Linked DNA regions of Drosophila melanogaster. The protein of the gene in region 1 purifies or fractionates together with the protein of each later gene. This does not show direct contact. Each region holds a gene or a part of one and is shown on either strand. Other genes may lie near its edges.

Region 1 (3,930 bases):
GGGGTCCTTTGTTTGCCGGGCTTTGATATTTAGCCGGGTCCTTTTTGGACTCCCTGCCGTGCGTTTTGGGAAAAGATATAGTATCTCTGCACTGGACATCCGCCTCTCTTCACTTAATTAGTGCACTGCACGGGGGGTCTGCCACAATCTCCTCATTCTAATTATAAATTCGGGGTACTGGGTGTAGCGCCATATATTTCGGGTTTATCAGATTTCAGAGTGAAAACATGTGATAAGCTGAGAACGTGGAGATTAGCTTGGGTAGGTAACAGGAAAGACGGTAACATTAAAACCATAAAAAATATTCCACCAGTCAACAGGAGCTGTTCTTTCTCGATAGTATGAGAGGCATAAACAATGAACTTCAATTTAAAAAATATTTTGCGAAATTAAGTTAAACCTGAAGTTAGTGAAAATAATCCTAGGTATCCATACGTATTCCCGTATATACCCTCCGATTACAGGGTATACAAATGATATATCTTCTTTAAACTGGTTTTCGAATTCACCCACAGCAATTTGCACTTGATCTCTTGTTCAGGCTGTTGTTTTATTGCAGTTTCTGCGGGGATTGTTGTGGGTCAGCTGCTTGAATTCCGCTGATAAATAGCCGGCTGGAAAATCCGACACGAACGCACACACACGCACACAATGTCACTTCGTCGGTTTTTCTTTTTGCTTGGGTAGATTTCCACTGCCCATTCATATGAATGTTTGATCCCGAAAGACTCTTATCGATGCGATGGTTATCTCGACGGATGAGGTTTTTATTGAAGTCTTGGCAACACACTTGTTTACAACCGTACCTTGAAATTCACGCTGGGCAATCGGCTTATAGCCCCAAACGCCCTTTTCGCTGTGATAGCACCGCGATTGTGGGCGTGGCAGTTTTGCGATTCCCGCCTCCGAAAGCGCCAGATAACGCAGCATGCTGATGGATTAAAAACGAGGCGTGTATGCCGGATCACCTGATAAGTTCGCAGCGAAATCGCGGTCTCTTCTCGCCGCCGTTCGACCCAGAACTAAGGGCAATTCACTTTTGTTTGAAGCCGGGACCCCCATATTCCAAATAAACTAAATTGCTGATAAGCTGGGAAATAAACCGGGAGAGAACAAATCCCTCCGAAAAGTAGTGCCTACTTTTGGGCTGGTGGTGTGATATGATCGCTGTTAATTAACAGAGCGCTTGTTAAACACATGTATGAGATGATAATGAATTTCAAAATAGTTTCTTATCAGTTAACTAAAGCTGATAATGCAACAGGTTCGTTGGCCAATAATGGATTGCCTTTGAGAGAGGGAAGAGTTGTATCCATTAAATTAGTCATACATATGCTCAGGAATATATTGAAATGAACTGTACCATAGTTAAAAACATTTTTATATTTATATATATATTTTATACATAATTATGCTGTCGTTTGTTTAAAAGATATATGGGGTACATTTTCAACACCAATTTTCCCCTAACAATAACCACTATAAAAATATATCTTATCCTTCGATTTTTATTATAGCAATGTTTATCTGCATTATTGTTTTATAATACCCTTTTAGTCACACAAGTTGATCCTCAAAACGCTTTGATTTTATTAATTTGGAGTTCCCCACTCTGCACTTGATTTCTTCATTAATGAGGACCATGACACTTTCATGTCCTAATGAAATCCATCAGTAGGCTTTTTTACGGGCGGCTGATATTCATAACTCTAAAGCTTCATCGGAAATGCCTATTAATGGTCGGTAATGGGTCATTGTCTATAATTAAACCGGAAGCGTGCTCTCATCAATTTCGCATCACACACATACATGTTTAGGCTTTACAGCCCATTCAGCTTTTCACAAAATGGCCGCGTCATGAGTATGATTAACTGTAATGGAAGTGAATCACAAATCTGCCAGAGACCATTGTCAACAGAGAGAAATATAGGTAACGGTCCCACGAATGGGCATAAACAAATAGGTTGGTAAATTTGGAGCACAGAGAAGAGAGTGAAGCTTCCCGAAAAAGCCAAGCGGGCCGAAGAAGGAATGCGTTATCGGTGCGTAGTATTCCATTGATAAGATATGCCTAGCTTTATCTGGCCGATAAGGCAATGTTTCACAATCGAGTAGACGGCGACAGGTGAACTGAGTTTTGGCAACGCCCCGATCGGGCCGTTAGAGTTAACTTAACTTCAGTCTTAGCTGAGCGGCTCGCTGCAACGAACGTGTTTTCCTGCCTGGTAATTAAAGTTAAAATTGAAAATTGGTGACAAGTGATAAGAGAACTGATAAGCCATTGCCTTAACTGATGATGTCATCAAGTGAAAATTGTTAGAAAATGAGGATATCAGAGGAAAAATAGTGTACAAATTCGCATGAATTGAGTGCTTATTGAGTGATACTTTTATTGTGGATGCCTAATTGATGCCTTTGTGTTTTTCTTTTAGCAGTGAAACGAAAAAACGAATTACCAATTAAGTGACAAATCGAAATCAAGTGAACATGCGTTTCAAACTGTTTGTGGTTTGTGCGCTGGCCTGCGGGTTTATGGCCTTTGTCCTGGCTAACGAGAATATATCGACGGAGGAGTTCGAGGATCAAATAATCAATGCAGTTCCGGAGCCGGTCAAGGTGACTAAGCCCAAAGCTCAGGCGGAATTCGTTGAGGTTCCAAAGGCCACGCCCGCTCCCAAAAAAGCGGAAGCGGACAACCCGAAAACCAAACCACTGGCCCTGCAGAAGCCCACTCTGATTCCCGTGGTGCATGTCAGCAGTCGGGGAACAGATGATATCCTCACCGTCGCGGGACTGAAGCCCGAGAAAATGTTCGGAGCCCTCATCATGCCAAATGACTATTTGGGGGAGCTGTACGACGTGGACAACAGCGGCTACAATTGGGGTGAGTAGGTTTCGTTGTCCCTGGGCTGATTCAGTTCCACCCCATTACTCATACGCCGCGTTGACTATCTTATCAGAACAGCTCAGTGGGTTTCAGTTTGGTTTAGTTACCAATATTTGCTCGATAACCTGTGTTCGGGCATTCAGGTGTAGGTGCTGTAAGCCCCTCTCTCTCTCTCTCTCTCTCTCTCGCTCTGTGTTCTTCCCGATAAGATAATGCCCCAGGTTGAGGCATTAAAAAGCTAACGGTTTCTTGTTTTCCGCTTCGGCAAACAAAACAGGTGCGTGGTGGCATAGTGAATATACGCATATGTATGCACACGAATATAGGTGTGGACACGGCGGACAGCGGGAGCACGGAGTCTTGCGTGATTCAGTTTACAACCTGTGGTAGTGTGTGGATTTAGCAATTCTGTTTTATCAGTCCCCTAGAACTGATATATTGGCTATTCGGAATTGGAATTTTTGCCGTATTAGTCACAGTCATTTGTTAGAATGTAACTGTGTAATAAAAAAGGGTTTGGTCAGAAATAGAATATCGAAATATATATGTGGAATTACTCACCGATTGCAAAGGAGTAATGGTTTAAAAATATTGTAATATTTGTAATGCCTCACTTGCCAAGAACAAGACGCTTACATTTTGTTTCATATATATATTTATATTTTATCTTATATTTGAACTGTCTTTAGAAGCTTAGGCTAACTTATAACTAAAGTAAGGCAATCCTTTGGAACTTACAATTAACCTAGTTTCTGGACCTAAGCACTCATCGAGATGCGCTGCTCGTACTCCGCGATGCGCAATCTCACGGGAACCACTAGACTGAGGTCCTCCATGATGGCGTGGTTCTGGGTTCGTACTGAGGCACTGGAACTCTGGCGGGAGATGGTGGCCCTCGACTTGTCCATCGAAGGCTTGCGGCGCAGGGAGCACTTGCGCTGGCTGCCCCCCTTGCCCACGCCCATGGCTGGTACATGGGGAGTGGCAAACTGGGCGGTGGTGGCCGACAGTCTCTTGGGCTTGGGTGGTGGCACTTGTCCGGT
Region 2 (3,609 bases), on another chromosome or scaffold:
GACGCCGATTTTTCCCCACCTCTCTGAATGCTTGATGATTCATCGCAACAAACCAAATGCAGAGGAGACAAATTCCAAATTTAACGTCGCTTGCTTTCTGGGACTCCACATGGGGATTTGAGAAGTGGGGAAGAATCCGCGGTGCTGAGCGGCATTCGCAATGGGGGAACGAAAACAAAGAACTCGACAACCTTTGGCCTTGATTTGGGAAGATATTCCTTTGCTTATCCAGGCATCAGACAACTTGCATTTAAAATGGAAAGCAGATCTATGTAAATAAATCAGTATCCATGTACCTTGCTCAAATTTAATTTTATTACCTTTAATTAAATAAATCTTATTCAATTACTTGTTTTCCCTAAGCAAATACTATTCTTAAGGCATTCAAGCACGTTTAATCACATTTTAAAAACTTGTATACAAAAGAGACAATTTCCGCTAAAACAACATATTTATTTTGAAAAGCTTAGGTTGGAAAGTTAGTTGTATGCTAAAATTAAATTTTCTGAAATGAAATCCAATAATACCCTCGGCACAGCGTAAATAATACTTGTTTATATATAGTACTCATGAATATCAGTGTGTATACTTGCTACTCAATGCGGGTCATAAAAAAAACCCTTGATGAGGTGTGATCTCATGTTTGTTCCATGTTCTGAACTTATGATTTATACAAGCACATTTTAATGTCGGCCTTAAATACAAAACACAGGGCACGAGGTGCCAAATGTGCAGTATAGTTAATTTCCCACGCCCTCCAAACTTATGCAATTATTCATTTGTCCAAAAACCATATGCATCCATTTTCAATTAGTTTTTAAACATTGAATTTAGAAACAAGGGACTGTAACTATTTCTAACTAAGTTCTTTCTTTTCTTCGTGACCTGAAAATTGTTTGCTTTTCATGTTACACAGTGTTCTTAAAACGCACCATTCATCCAAGAGTTGTATTTTTATACACCATTTTACTGTGATAAATAGGCAATATGTAAATCGAGGAACCCCACATCAACCGCAAGTTGCTTTTTTGCTCCCCAATTGCTCCTATCATTTTGCATTGTGCTCTTCCAATTGATTCGAAATCTCGAACATGGGCCACCTACAGCCACGATTATTGTGCTAGGGTTGTGATAATTGAAATGCAGATTAGGTTCCAGTGACTTTTTGTGTGTCTGAGACTTTTTAATCAGTAGCTGGAATCCACTGGGCTATCGATCATCGGAATCGTGACAAGGTCAGTGAATTTTTAATCTGTTCGAGGGATGCACCACCGGGAGCTTTATCAGTGGGAATGGGAATGGGTCACCACGAAAGTATTTCAGAAATACATCGATGACGCAAGAATAATTGTTTCCGGTCTCTCAGAGCCGCGGGTATGTTTCCCCGTTTTGTGGCTTTGTGGCCGCCATGAATAATGTGTAACAATGCTGTGGAAAGCGGCAAATCGGAGCACCTGATATATCGCGATGTAAGGCGACAGAGCTGCGATAAGGCCGTTTTGATAAGATACGCGGGTGGGGCTGGCGCATGCGCATCTGGGTTTCATTGGGCTTCGGAGCCTGAACATGTTGAACCGTCAACGAATTAGTAACCCATTTCGAACGGCACCTGTTATCGTGAGCCCTATCTTATCTTATCGCTGACCGTGTATGCTCTGATTGCAAAAGCTACAAATTCTTGGCGACACGACGAACTGGGCGCGACAGGTTGGTTGGTTGCCTTTCAGTGATATTTTTCAGTTTAGTCGACGAACGACAACGATACGAAAACGAATCATTTCGCTGTAGTTTCCGCGTGAAAATTACAGAAAAGATTGTGAGTGCCCCTTGACTGGGAGAAACCCCTCTGTGAACTAAAGCATTTGCCCAAATTCCAGCTCAGCGATAAGAGCAATCAGCATATCTAGTGCGAAATGGTGTCCGTGGAGACTGTAGGCTCTATTTTCATCAAGGCCCTGAAGCTGGTAAGTTTTGGGCTTCTTTGGTCCCTTCCTATTGAGCAATAGCCTGTTTGTGGTCGCAATAACTCGGCTGATAGATAAGCGCGCGTTTTATCAGTCCTGGCGTATTAGCAATGTTACTCATACGCCGAGTTGTACGGCAAGGCGAGGCGTGGCCAAGAAGTGATTCATTCATTCCCATTCCCAATTGTGACCTCATTTAATTGCTCTCCTGTGCGCTCCTTTTTCGCAGATCATCAATCTGGTGATCATCTTCTTGTACCGTTGGGGCGATGGTGGCGAATTCCTGGGCATCGGCGGCACGTGGAACTTAAACGAGGAGAAGAGCGCCGATGCGGAAATCGTAGCCTCAGGCGTCATGGTTGGATTCTTGATTTACACTGGATGCCACACCATTGCCTTTGCCTTCGGCACAACCAAACATAAGGGGTATGTTGAATGCCGATATTGATTATAGCTGAACTTTGACCCGCATCTTATTCCTTTTCTTGTATTTTCCGCCCTTAATTCCACACTCTCAACTCACAACTGTTTGTTTTCAATGGCTTTCCGTTTTTCAGAGAGCTGTGCGACACCATCATGAACGTGGTTGGCTGCATCATGTGGATCGCCGTGGGCGGAGTGGCACTCCACTACTGGAAGGGTTACATGTCCGACGAGGGATTCCTGTATGTGAACTCGGAGCGTCAAGTGGGCATTGCCATGGGCTCGCTGTGCGTTATCGAGGGCGCACTGTACCTGCTGGACACCGTGTTGGCTTGCATACACTATTCGAAGGGCGACACCGACTACACGCAGTAGAAACTGAATAGTGGGGATACCAATCGCAGCCGCCGAATAAACACCATCCACATTTGTCTTTATACATAGATCGATTTAAGTGCAAATTAGTTATTATCCGCAATCAATTATCAACTATACGTTCGTAAGGGTCAATTGTCGCTGTACTATACACTAACTGTTTACAATTTTCATTCACGTTTAACATCCTTAAATTGGCAAATACAAATAGTTAAGACCACGCCACGGATAAAAGTTTTTGTGCATTTGGGAACTAATTAAGGGGATGCAATGGAATGCCACTTACTAGTAAGTATCAATTGTAACCTAAATCAACTAATTACCATCAGAACCCATTGATCGTGTTGCTCAGTTTCTTTTTTTCTGATATCATTGCAATTAATGAAAGATTATTTATATATATCATACATCATACGTAAGCATTTTGCTAATTTTTGTCAAAAAACGACAACTTAGATTTGTTGACTAAACTTTTCGACTTTAAACTAACACCCAATCGAAATTTCATATTCCAAGCGATCTGATACTGATATATTGTAATTGGTGAGATATTTCATTTGTTTTTAGTACTAGTACTAGAGAACCTATTGCTCTCCAAGAACCTAATATTCTTTTAAAGAACTTGATGGAAAACTAAACTAATTGTTTAGGAACTGATGCACACAGGAAAAATGTCAGACGATTCGCAGAATTTGGTATATATCACTCATTTCTTTGCTGAGAACAGAGTTCATGAGTTGTTCAACCAAATCGATGACGCTTCAAGACGAACCTCCTCTGGAACCATGAAACTGCAACTTCCGGTGCAAATCGAAAGCGTTCAACGAAGCATTGATAAATCGGAATA

What was found.
Region 2: the proteins of mesh (region 1) and Ssk purify together in Drosophila melanogaster (affinity purification with western blotting; one study listed by BioGRID). This does not show direct contact.

The regions. Positions count from the first base shown.
Region 1 is NT_033777.3:31,194,012-31,197,941, reverse strand, and holds the start of mesh (mesh), read left to right. Parts: upstream 1-2,179; 5' UTR 2,180-2,225; intron 2,226-2,432; 5' UTR 2,433-2,487; coding exon 2,488-2,884; intron 2,885-3,552; exon of another isoform or gene 3,553-3,645; coding exon of another isoform or gene 3,646-3,930. Other genes in the region: CG1544 (uncharacterized protein), read right to left, coding at 807-930; bnk (bottleneck), read right to left, coding at 3,646-3,930.
Region 2 is NT_037436.4:20,186,799-20,190,407, forward strand, and holds Ssk (snakeskin), read left to right. Parts: upstream 1-1,723; 5' UTR 1,724-1,913; coding exon 1,914-1,964; intron 1,965-2,193; coding exon 2,194-2,390; intron 2,391-2,521; coding exon 2,522-2,762; 3' UTR 2,763-2,981; downstream 2,982-3,609. UniProt on the Drosophila melanogaster protein: Required for assembly of smooth septate junctions (sSJs), together with mesh and Tsp2A. May be important for barrier function of the midgut epithelium.